2 linked regions of the Caenorhabditis elegans genome follow. The protein of the gene in region 2 purifies or fractionates together with the protein of the main gene of each other region. This does not show direct contact. Each region holds a gene or a part of one and is shown on either strand. Other genes may lie near its edges.

The links. The genes of interacting proteins can lie anywhere in the genome.
Region 1: the proteins of smcl-1 (region 2) and dpy-27 purify together in Caenorhabditis elegans (affinity purification with mass spectrometry; one study listed by BioGRID). This does not show direct contact.

Annotation. Positions count from the first base shown.
Region 1 is NC_003281.10:3,813,368-3,821,479, forward strand, and holds dpy-27 (Chromosome condensation protein dpy-27), read right to left. Parts: upstream 6,313-8,112; 5' UTR 6,311-6,312; coding exon 5,885-6,310; intron 5,836-5,884; coding exon 5,734-5,835; intron 5,652-5,733; coding exon 5,293-5,651; intron 5,109-5,292; coding exon 4,353-5,108; intron 4,290-4,352; coding exon 4,052-4,289; intron 3,846-4,051; coding exon 3,637-3,845; intron 3,589-3,636; coding exon 3,138-3,588; intron 3,007-3,137; coding exon 2,569-3,006; intron 2,250-2,568; coding exon 1,972-2,249; intron 1,905-1,971; coding exon 1,556-1,904; intron 1,452-1,555; coding exon 911-1,451; intron 805-910; coding exon 542-804; 3' UTR 277-541; downstream 1-276. UniProt on the Caenorhabditis elegans protein: Central component of the condensin I-like dosage compensation complex that associates specifically with hermaphrodite X chromosomes to reduce their gene transcription throughout development.
Region 2 is NC_003284.9:11,691,542-11,696,470, reverse strand, and holds smcl-1 (Structural maintenance of chromosomes-like protein 1), read right to left. Parts: upstream 3,008-4,929; 5' UTR 3,006-3,007; coding exon 2,808-3,005; intron 2,764-2,807; coding exon 2,275-2,763; intron 2,220-2,274; exon of another isoform or gene 2,194-2,219; coding exon 1,956-2,193; intron 1,908-1,955; coding exon 1,849-1,907; intron 1,816-1,848; exon of another isoform or gene 1,801-1,815; coding exon 1,597-1,800; intron 1,509-1,596; coding exon 1,188-1,508; intron 984-1,187; coding exon 879-983; 3' UTR 718-878; downstream 1-717. Other genes in the region: C44C10.5 (DUF4456 domain-containing protein), read right to left, coding at 4,015-4,161, 4,259-4,459, 4,504-4,562, 4,616-4,865.

The sequences.
Region 1 (8,112 bases), on a different chromosome or scaffold from region 2:
AACATTTGAGTGGTTTTAACAAATTTCCCAACTAACAATATTTTCAAAAAATTTGTTAAGGTCTACCAAAAAGGATTAAAATAACTATGTATATATCAAAATAAAAGATCCTGTTTTTTAACAGATTGTCCAAAATTTTTAGTCAAATTTTTAGCAGCTTTCGAAATTTTAGGAAATTTTCTTTGTTAGGAAATTATTTTTTGATGGCATTATTTTTTTTAGGAAAAACTTTGCAATGTAGTTCTAAAATAAAAATGAAATAATTATTTTTGTGAATCGTGAATCGAAAATTTACCTTGTCAGCGAATTAAGAAAATGAGATAGATTGGACAGTACGTGATGCAAAGATATAGGGGTTTCACAAAATATACAACAAAATGGAAATATATTAAAAAGGGAAATAATTAAAATCACAAGGAAAAATTAAGCTAGACGAATATTAAAAAATACAAGCTTGAAAGAAAGTTGGTCTCATTTTTTGGATTTTTCACAAAGTTTTCTTTTTTTTTTCAAAATTTAGTTTAAAATATATTACTTCAATTTAATGTCTGCTTCTTCGCACACGGCGTTGAACGACAATTGGTGGTGGAGATGGAGTTGCTTCTTCGATCAATTCATCCTCTTCATCTTCCTCTTCAACTTGACGACGCGGACGTCTTCTTACTGGCTCATCGTCTTCATCTGAATCCTCAACACTTAATTCACGACGAGTTGCGGGTGGGAATCTATTAAATTCAGGAAGATCACTGTCATCATCGAGACCAAAGTCCGAGAGTTTCAGCATTTCCAGCCGGCGTTGTTTACCTGAAAATTGGTATTTGTTGAGATGGGTTTAAGTTGGACTGGTTGCTACTTTGATTTGGTATTTTACAATTAAAGTGCAGTTGATATGTCACTAATTATTACTTACGTTTTGGTGCAATAACGACATTGCTGAGCCCATTACTCAAATCAATTTCCGGTTCAATCTCGGCACGTCGTAGCTTCTCGCGCCGTTTGATCTCCTCCTCGAAAATCTTCAAAATCGGACGATTCTTGATCTCCACCGCGATCGGATCCACCATAATGTTATAAGTTTTTCCATCGATTTTATAGATACCAAGCAAGCGATTTCCGACCTCGAACATTTGATTTCGAAGCGAAATTATGATAAATTGAGCGTTCCGTGTTCGCTCGGAATGCTTGATATAGTTTGCAATCAGGCTGACATTGTTCAAGTCCAGTGCCGCATCGATTTCATCCATCACGTAGAGGGGTGTTGGACGGTAGTGGTGCATTGCAAAGACAAAGCATAAAGAGGCCAGAGTCTTCTCTCCGCCAGATAGATTCTCGATGAGCTTCCAGGATTTCTTGGCGGGACGTACACTGAACTTTATTCCACCATCGAAGGGATCGGTAGATTTTCCTTCTTCCACAAACTTCAAACTAGCATCTCCGCCATTGGTGATAAGCTGTAAGCAAATAACTTGTTTCTTTTAATCTCATTTAAAGCAATGGGTCTGACAGAAAAAATGCTTCCTGTCAGCCTGGTAGCAGGCAAGTACCCCTTACTCACCTGGTAAAGCATTTGGGTAGTAGTACCCAAGAATGCGAGCGCCTCGCTGAACTCGTTGAATCTCGCCATTCTCAACTCGTTGAGCTTCTCACGATGAGCCTTCAGCTTATCGCTAAACTTCTTCGCTGACGTCACCTCGTTCATGAGAAGCGACACAATCATCGCATAATCCCGAACACCTTTATTATCAAATTCCCGCCGGAACTTGTCAACATCTTTTTCCAGCTTGCAAATCTTGTTAGCAGTGTCCTCGAAAACATCGTCCTCAAGCATTCTCGCTTCGTGCTCTTCGTAAGCTTCACGGTGAGGTTCGATCATACTGATGCATTCATATGGGAGTACAACGTGCCTAAAAACTCAGTGATTATAAATTTGAATTTGCACATGGAAAATCTCCCAAAGCTTCTGAAACGTACCCATCAGTCATTTTGGCCGCAATATCTGGATCATTATATCTGACAAATTTGCCAGGTGGATAGAGCTTTTCCGGTTGCATCCATGCAGATTCAATAATATCAAGTTCTGCATTATCCGCCATTGTCTTGTTTTCCAAGTCATCAATGATTCTCATCAGTTCATCATAAGTCTGTTTGACCATGTTGTAGTTGTCAACTGTGGTTTGATAGGCTGCATCTGCTTCTCGGCGTGCCGCAACCGCTTCAGTGTACCTGGCTCTTTGTGCATCAATGCTGGCCTGGAAGATTAAAAATTAGAAAATAGTAAAGCTTGAATTGGTAAATTCTGAATAGCTCGAAAATGGCGAACTTCATAAGGAGACTGCTTAAAAAAGCGCAAAAATTGTTTGAATAGTGGTTTAAAATTTTGAAAAAAAATCGAAAATGTTTACTAGAACTAAGGGAGCAAGGTTGGAAACACCAAGCTAAAGCCTAAGCCTAAAAAAAGCCTAAGTTGGAGCTCAAGCCAGAACCTAAGCCTGGACCTAAGCTTGAACTGAAGTCGAAGCCTAAACATAAGCCTAACCAGAATCCTAGTCCTATAGAAATTAAACATACCGTTGAAGTTTGCAATTGCGCATTGATAATATCAATTCCCTTTACATCCTCTCCAACTTCCAATTGAGCCAATGCATCTGCCTCGCTACGTTTCTCCAGACACATATGCTCCAGCTCACTAAGCTTCTTCTCGGCCTGCTCCAAATGTGATGGATTGTTCTCAATAATTGCAGTTTGTCGTGCAATGTCCTGCTCCAGCTGTCCCATTCGATCCTTCGCCTGCTCAATTGAGTCCTTATTTTTTTGGACCAACTCCATAAACATTCGGTCCATTTTCCGTTTGTATTGCTCAATTTGCTGCTTGATTTTTGCTGAAGACTTTTGGCTCTCCTCCACTTGACGTTTCAGATCTGCAATTTGAGCTCTCTTCTCGTCCAAATCCTCAACGGTCACTTCTCTATAGTTAACCATACGGCGCTCATGTGCTGCGATTGAGCTCTGGAAATAATTAAAAAATTAGAATGGAAATTTTGAATAAAATCTAGTTTTTTTTTCGATATATCCATTTTCAAGAAAATCGGAACAGCGAAAATTTCTGTGTTTCAGTAAGAGACGCAAAAATAAATCACCTTTAACTCGGCAATCCGTGTTTTCTGCTCCTTGGTGGACATAATCAATTCACGCTTACGAATCTCGAGCTGTTTGATAATCGGACCATTGTCGGCTCGGATCTCTTCTTGCTTTAACTGCAACTTCAAATGAGCTTCCAGTGCGTGATTGTGCTTCTCCTGTGCGGCTCTTAGCTTGCTCAAATCAACTTTTTTGACTCCACTCATGTTTGGATTATTATCATTTCGAATACGACCAGTCGTCGGTTTTCCACCACCAGTCAATGCTCCACTTCGGTTCAAAATTGAGCCATTCAGTGTGCAATAACGATGCCTTCCAGGATACTTCTTATCAATTCGAGTTGCTTCTTCAAGACTGTCAACAACCAGAATGTCATGGATCAAGAAATAGAATTCGCGGCGAATCTCAGGGTTTACACAGTGAATCTTATCGAAAAGTCGTTCGGCTGGGCTGAAAATAAGAATTAATTAGATTTGGCAACTAAAGGCAACTACCAACAATTTCATTGTAGAATCCATTCCGCTAGTATCAGTATCTTTCAAGTGATCCAAGAAGACAAACGTCGTACGAGGAAGTTTGTACTCGTGGCAGAAGCCAATTCCGATTCTACATTCATCGCTAGTTTGCACAACGTGGTAATCCAATTGTGCAAAGAACACTGTTGAAATTGCGGTGTCGAACTTGATTGGGATACTTGCCAAATCTCCCTGTAAGACAATTAATTTTAAATTGGTCCTCGAAAAAAAATCAATTCGAAATCAGACTAAACGTGTGGCTTCTGAATTTGAAAGATCCTATTTAAAATGTATTTCTCCCAGAAAAATCATACTTACATGGAACATCAGATTACCCCAGGATGCTCACAGCTAATCAAATTTCAAAGCAGGTACTCACTCCCAATCGAATAACTTACCAAGCGACCTTTGAAGCCCGGAAATAATCCAGCCTCTTTCAGTTCATGAAGCTTTGCGGTTGCCTGATGACGGTACGTAACTTCCTGGGTGTTCGATGCTTCAATCACTTCTTGATCCAGCTCATACTTCTTGCTTCTCAAAAGTTGTTCGGTAGACTTCAAATGCGGAAGCTTCTCGACAGCTTTGTCAAACTTCAGCTTTCTATCTTGCAGCTCAGTTGTGACGGCGTTTAGCTCACTGGAAGGATATGGGGAATTTTTAAAAGCTGGTTAAAATAAAATAAAATAAAATAAAACTTACGTATTATCTCTAATGTTCTCAGCCATCATTGTTTGCAATGTCCCTTTAAGCTCATCAACTCTCTTCTGTCCCTGCTCCATCATTATCGTCATATCCTTAAGTTCTGATTCAGAAACGTCCAATTCTGCTTTTGCTCGCATCGATTGCAGAAGCTCATCTGAGAGTTTTTTCTCCAGATCATCATGCTTCGCTCTGTCGGCACTAGACTTCTGATCATACTTGATGAGATTCTCTGTAGCTGTCCGCTGACACACATTCTCCTGCTCCTTGAGCTGATCCCATTCGAGTTGCATGTTTTGCTTAGAGATTCTCGCATTCTCTGGAGCCGTCTCAATTTCAAACTTCTCCCGACGAGCTTCATCCCGCTCCTTCATGAGCTTCCCAAGGTCCTGAGTACACGACTTGAGCCCCTGCTTTCTCTTAGCATCACGTGCATGCCAGTCATTCTTCTTCGATTGCCAATCGATTCTTTTATTCTCCAGCTCAGTGACAATACTATTAAGGCTTCTCTCGTGAGTCTCCTTCTTCCGAACTTCATCCTTTGCCTCAAGCATGATATCCTTGTTCTCTTCGAGTTCTCCTGTTCGAGTGACAAGACTCATTTTGGCGTCCCTCATTGTTTCAGCATAACGGCACAAATTGTGCTTGACACGGATTCCACGAAGGTAGTTGAGATTATTGAAGGTATTCAGGTAGGCCATCCCGATAACCATTGCCTTTTCAAAGACTTTTAGGTGTCCCTCGTGGCGGCGAACACTGGAAATGGAAAGAATTTTAATTTGAAATTTTTTTAAGTTTCAGAAAATTAATATATTTCAAGTTGAAACCGCAAAGTTTTTTTGTTTTTTCCTAGTTCAATTTGAATTTCCATGCTTTATATTTTTATGTGGTACATCCGTGCCAAAATTTGTGGTATTTAATAATATTAAAATGAACTTACGAGGCTCCATATTGTGAACTTTTGTGCTCCAATAGAGAAACCCGATGCATTAGTTTGGAAATTGGTGCGACAAAACGATTGGTTCCAACAATATCCTCAATATATTCAAGCATTCCTTCTTCATTCGGATTTTTGGATGTTGGCTTCATTAGTGCAATCGCTTCAACTTCTCCTTGCAGAATCAGGAATCGATTATGGGTCATATCAATTCCAGCACGTAGGAGAAGCTCCTGGACGTCTTTTTGCGATGCATCTTTGTCATCAATACGATATTTTGAATTGTTTTCACGATTTATTGTGCGGGTGATGCAGACGCAATTATCTGTTAACACTTCATATTTATCGTAATTTTCGACAGGCTGAAAATTAATTTTGATATTGATAGTTATTAGTTTGTTTTCAATCGTGTGGATCTCAGGCCCGCTTTAATAACCTACTTACCATATCCTTCACCATCTGGAACATAATTGTTACTGAACATGATTCGTAGTTCCCTCCTGAATTGATCAATGCTGATAGCTTCTTGGTACGAATTTTTCCAGCCTGAAACAATGTATATTGTGGAATAAAAATTTCAATTTAAAAAACTCACTTTAAATCCAAACACGAATAGCAATGCATCAATAACGTTTGACTTTCCACTTCCATTTGGTCCCAGGATCATTGTCAAGTTCTTGTGAAACGGTCCGAGAATATGTTTTCCAGCATAACTTTTAAAGTTCTCAACGTAGATATTCAGAATTATCATTCGATTTCCATCCGGATCCGAGATCTGATCTTCATATTTTGGGGGAATTTGAACATTCAAAAGATCCTCTTTTTCATCATATTTCACACCGTTTTCAGCCGCTTCAAGTTCCAACATATACGCGCCTGAACTAACATCATCGAATATGTTGAGCTGTTCCATGTACTGTCGTCGGCGATCCACGTCGAGATCGACTTCAGGCATCGAGTCGGTGTCAGCATATGGTCTATCATCGTCCGAGGTTAGCGCCCGTCTTTTAAACGGCTGCATACCTGAAAAAAGGAATTAATTTTGATAAATATTAAAAGGGAGAGGGAGAGTAAGAGGTGCATAATTTTGCCAAAAAGGCAAAGCTTTGGAAATGTTTTGACAACTGGCAAACTTTCGACCCCTTCCAATCAAATTTTTTTGGTAATTATCAACTGACAAAATTTCTTTGAATGCCAATTGCCAACATTACCTAATCAAAAAATTTTGAAATATATATTTCATATTTAAAATTGAATCACACAGTTTACAAATTGATAACATTGAAAAAAGTCATCTAGAAATTTATTAATGTTATAGTATATTATATAGTTATCAGTATGATTTCACCTCAAATATTGAAAACTAAATTTTTAATGTTGGGGAAAAATTCAAATCGATAATTCAAACGAATTTTTTTTCCGGACTTTAGGAAAATCAGGGCACAGATAACATTGGAAACTATATATAAGTTTGTTAATTTTTTTAAGATTTAAGATTATGAAAGCTGCGCTAATTAATTTATTTGTCAAATTCAAAAAAAAAGTTAAGAAACGGTCACACACGAGCACACACCCATTTCATTGCGCGCGCGCAAGCGTATGTCTGTGTCTGTGTGTGCGAGCTGTTACTACTGCTGACCGAGTGTGGGGTTAGAGGCAGACGACGAAAGAGAACGAAGGTGAAAGTGGAAAAGAGCATGGAGAACGTGGAGACTGAGAGAAATGACAGACTCCGACTGCGGTCAAGACGATTCGGGTGAGAGAAAGAATAGTGGAATAAGAGACGGAGAGAATCCATAGCAATGGGTGGGTGGGTGATGAGCGGAATATTGTTGCGAAGAAGGTTGGGTGTACCAGACTAAGGAGCTGGAGAGATAAAGATTCTAATTATTTGAAAATTTGGCAAACGTTTCCCATTACTAGATGTACAAATCGATATGCTACAGATAGTCGATCAACGATCACGCTTTGGGAAAAGTATACGAGTTTTCAGCTGAAGAGGTCCCCAAAAAACCGAGAGGTTTTTATATGTATAATATTGAAAAAAAATCACTAGATTTTATTGATAAGAAGTAGTTTAACACGATGAGTGAAACTTGAAATTTTATATTAGATATGTATGTGAATCCAGATGGAAGCATGAAGGAAATGAGCCAAAAATTTTGTCAATTTATGTGTCTGTACGATCTCTATTGAACTTCGTCTATAATAGAACAAGTAGTTAAAGTCCTGATAGGCATTACTGTCTGCGATTACCCGTGTCTTGCTCCGTCAAATCCATTGCACCAGTTGATCCGGGCATCCTTAATGAAGAAGAGAATAGAAGAGAATTGAAGTCAGAAGACAAAAGTATAAAACTGACTAGTTTTAACAAGGTGTGAGAAACAAGAGACGGATGATTATTTTGTACTTCTCAGGTCGCCTAGGTAACAAGCACACTGGTACGGGCTGGCACGACTCCATCTTGTGATGGGTAGAAGAGGTGTGTGAGAGAAGAATATGAGCTGATCTCCTCTGTTGAGATGATAGATAAGCTTATAATTTGAGCAGTTAGTTGCGTGTAATTGAGGATTTCGTTTTTGATGTTGCAGCCAACAACGGGTCTTCTAATGGTGGGAAATGAGAGATCAAACAACGGATGGTCTTGTGAGCAAGAACATCTGCCAACATACGGTTCAGATGAGCATATTACAGAGTCACAAACCATGTAAACTTCTAGAAAGTCTGCAATCGAAAAAATGGAGGGGAACTGTAGAAGAAGAAACAGGGGTATAATTTGATGTAAAACGGATTTGGATGTAAAACGAAATTTTCAATTCCGAC
Region 2 (4,929 bases):
TTCTAGTTCTGTGCTGTCACCAGTAGTCGGTAGATAGTTTTCACTTCTGCAAGAGAATTATTTCTCCGTTTAAGGCTAAAATTAAAAAAATACGGTAGGGTTAAATGTAACAATTCTTAGAGGTTCCTTTCGATTTCCTGCTTTTTTCCATGATTGTCCAGGGCTGCCATAAATTCTCTGTAAACTTTGTGAAGTTTTCCAGAAAAAATTAACACTTGATGTACTTCCCGGAACAGACTTACTGATGCTATTGACTGATTATTGCTTTTGTATCAACCTCCCAATCAAAAACGAAAACGAATTTGCAATTTTCTCAGATTCGCAGTCAGAAATATATTATCCCACAAATTACATTTTTATGCAATATTTAAAAGTATATTTGTTAGGAACTATTTTAATGTACAATTTATACAAAAAATTAACAACGAAATGTGCAAAACAAAATAATGTTCAAATATTGGTAGATCAGTTCTTGCGCATAACATTGAAGATTACACTGAGTAATTTACACGTCACTTTACAGTTGTTGTTTAAATCTTTAATATATTTAAATCAAATATTATATTAATTGTTTTTGTTACTATACTTTCTACTGAAGTGTAGTTATACTGATTCAAAATGTTTTGTATCAAAAAGCTGTAATTTCTTGATTGTAACCTGACTGTATTCAAAAAATTACAGTGTAGTTTTGTATTTACCGTTCAATAAAAAAATAAATAAAAGTCTGAAATTTATTTTCGAGGTGTATATGCTTTGAACAATTTTACAAGAAACAACTTTGAGAATGCGCAAGAAATAAATGAAGAAAAATTGAAGATCGTGTGAGACATACCAGTAACAAAACCAGTAACAAAATGTTTCAAAATACAAATTATACATTAGTTTTCGAGAGTGATCGTTTTGGTGACTTCTGTAAAGTAACTGTCCTCTTTTGTTGTCACAATGAATTGGGTTTGCTTCTGACGTGAGAGGTATGGCTCAATCTGAAAGCACCACGTTAACTTTAGGCAATTTGATAAGAAACTGTTACAGCCGACGACACAACTTTTTAAAAATCAGTCTCAAGTTTCCGTTTATTTTTTCAGCTTGACAAAACTTTGAGAATACATTGCACTGAACGAAATACAGTTGTTTTTTTTTGCATTCAGATGTATATTGATAAATGATTGAACGAGATATGTACTAACCTTTTTACTTGCTTCATGGTACAAATTCCTGTCGATATCGTCGATGACAACAAGTGGCGAAGGTTTCCACTCATGGATAGCAAAAATGAGAGCCAAATCAACAATCATTCTGGACCCACCGTGAAACGTTCGAGTTGAAATGTGCTCACTGTGGCGTTCCTTCACAAATGCGTCAATTGCCAAGTAGGGCTCTTCCTCGTCCAATGGTCTAAGAAAAGCGAGAGAATCCTCGTCCTGCGCGATTTCAGCGTAAATTCTGCTCAGTGACGTTTGTAAAGGTGCCATAAAGTTGTTGAAACGTGCACTTCGCATGACTCTCAGCTGAAAATTTACAAAATAATGTGGTATTGTACTTCAGTAGCCATGCCACTTAAAGTTTTGATATGGTCTTGTAGATTTTTACACTCACTTTTTCCCAATTTAAACGTGCCTCTGATTCAATGTTCAGAGCCAATGTATGTTTCGTAGTTGCTTCCTTGATTCTCATGTTTATGTTATCGATATTTGCGTCATCCTTGATATTATTCTCGTCCAACCAACATTGACGAATTTTTTTGATTTCTTTTTCAAGCATAGAGCGTTTATAGCTAGTAGCTATAATATCGTCACTTTCCTGCAAACTCATTGGGTAATATATTTTAAATTTCAATGCATTACAAACCTTCTTATAGTACTCTGGCAATTCAGTGTAGTCAATTTCTCTTGCATAGATATTTGGGCCTGAAAACGATAGATAAATAAAAAATAGTTAATAACAAACATGTTCACCTTCTTCAGAAAACCGAATGTTCATGTTTGGATGATTCACAGCAAATTGAAGAAGCTCCCGACGTTCTGTCACTTTTTCATTCAAATAACTGTTCAGCTTGTCCACCGTAATCAAATTGTCGTAATGATTGTGAGTCTTTGGTCGGACAACAATCGCATTGTTTTTAAAGTTTGGTGATGGAGTTTGTTTCGGAATTGCTTCTGAGTATCTTGAAATTCTTAATGGCATCTTTGCATTCTGGAAAAAATAAAAGCATTGAAGGTTTTTTTCACAATTTTATTTGTACACTTCTACTTTATAAATTAACAAAAAACAAACCTTTGCGTTCACTTTTAACTGCTCTGCGACAAACTTCTCCTTGGTTTCCTGGATTTCTTTATCACATAAATACAGCTTGTAAAGCGTCAAGGTGATAAACTTTTCTTTTTCTAGTTCAATGCTATCAATCATTTTTGCCCACCGGAGAACAGTACTCTCCGCAAAATTCAATTTCGCTTTTAGCTCATCGTATTCTGGTTTGAACTCAATGGAGTTGGAAACTATGTCGAAAAATGCTCCAAGTTCTTCTGCACTTTTGCGGGTGACTTTTAGTGTTGTTTTGTTGTAGACAGATATATTTTGACCAGCAAATCTGAAATTCATTTTTCCAAGTTCCAATAAATATTCTTCTTCTGTGACGTATTTATTGAAGATCATGTAGGTGTATGTAGTTTTCAGTCCAATTCTCGTAAATCTTTTCGTTGATCCATCTGGCATTTCGAACTTCAAACTCACGACGCATCGAATGTTGTAGTCATAGAATAGGTGCTGTAAAATAATTTTTTTCTCGATTTTCATAATGTTATGCTAACCTCGTTGTGCGGATTTTTGGGATCAGGTAAGTCTTCGCCAAATACAAAGGCAATAGCTTCTATCATAATCGATTTTCCACACCCATTCATTCCAATAAAAGTTGTCACATGGTCAAATGGCCCGAAGCTTTTGTGGTGTTGGTAACATTTGAAATTTAGAATGTCAACTGTTAGTAGTCGTTGCTGCGGGTACGTCATGTCTGCAATTAAACAAATTTAAAAAAAGCGGTCAGAATCAACATCAAATTGTGATAAATAACATTTTTAAAACAAGAAAATTGAAGACAAAAAAGACAAAAAAAAACAAACGCAAATAGTTAATTCAAAAAAAATAGCAGACAATGATGAGCACGTCTTGTATTCTTAGGCCACGGCCACAAGTGCAGCGAGGGAGAAACCCTGCATTCGTATGGGTGCTGGTTTTCTCTGCGTCTATCTGCAAAACAAAAACTATCGACACTGTTGTAGAAATGGCCAAAATCGTGTAAAAAGCAGTTGAACGGGAAAGAAATGATTTGCCGAGTATGTATTTAAATCAGAAAATGTACTTCATGCTCTCCGTCTCAGAAATGGAATTGAACCGACAATATTTATATCTATAGTCTTTAGTATTATCTAGCAAACAATAACAAAAAAGTATTATTATTATGAATATTAAAAAAGAACGAAAGTGTGGTAAACTGCCTTTATTATACTAATCACATTGAAATAGCTTGGGACTTCGGATTTAAGAAAGACGAGTATGGTCGGGAATGTTCGTGAAGGAATTTTCGTCAGGCTTTATATTTTGTAAATGTATCAACATTGTAATAGATACACGTAAAAAAAGACATTAGATATCTGGCATGCTGAAAGTTGTGGTGTGTTTAGTGAAGTAACTGTCGTTGTGGGTGGTTACAATGTATTGAGTATTGTCCTGGCCGGTGAGATACGAACAGACCTGAAATTTGTTTAATTAAACAGTGAATTTATCTTTAGATGAGCCGTAGCTTCTGTTTTTTGACCAACCTTATTGCTTGTCGTTTCCGACATTCTTTTGTCAATGTCATCAACCACGAGGAGTGGTGAAGGCGTTTGCACATTTTTCAAATAAGCCGTTTGCTCGTGAAGTGCAAGAACAAGAGCCAGATTAGCAACGATTCCTCTTGATCCGCCGCGGTGGAAGCGAGTTGGCTCGAGATCTTCATTTATTCCTCCGACAAACAGATCAACATTCATACGGTTCATCCTCATTGGATGACGCAAGTGAAACGGTGGAATCCGGATCCTCAGAAATCTCTCTATAGATTCTGCTCACAGACGATGATACTGCAGCAAGGCGTTGATTGAAATGAGTACGGCGACTGGCTTTGACCTGAAATGAAACAATGTCTTCAAAAAACCAAGGTAATTCTATACACAGGTACAGAGAAATTCATAAAAATTTAAACAGAAAAAAACATTAAATAAACCTGTTCAATTTCGGCTTCTAGCTCAGTTGTGCGTAACTTTGCTATGTTAATAAAGCTGTCCGTCTCGTGGAATCTTATTAAAATATTACTCATATCCGGATACTCTGCTCCATTGACAGCAACCCATTCGTTACGAGTTGCCTGGATCGTTTCCTCCAAAGTACGCAGATGCATCTTAACTGTTTCAGCATCGTTGCTTTCCTGAAATTGAATAATTTTCTTCAAATGGCGGCAAATTTTCTTACCTTCTTCAACTCATCTGGTAAGGAGGAATAATCCGGTTTGACGTCGTAGGAAAACGTACCTAAATATTGAAGTAAATCCATGCTATTTGAAACTGTATTCAGAGTCACATACCTGCTTCTTTGGCAGGAATATCAAGATCCTGTAAAGTGACATTTGCAATGATTTTTCGACGTTGTGCACGTTGTTGGACGAGTCGATTTTCTAGTTCGATGACAATAGCCGGTTTTTCTGCGTTCTCTTGGGATAAACTGTCACCATCCAGCCTTGAACAGCCTTGAACCTTGAACATTGCGGGAGGAGCTTGTTTTGCAATTGCTTTTGGATCATCACTTTTTGTAACTTTCTGCGATTGTTTTGATGCCTGAAAAAATTGGCTTGTTAAAACGTTTTTCTTATTTTGATTGAGTAAATAAATGAAAGATATA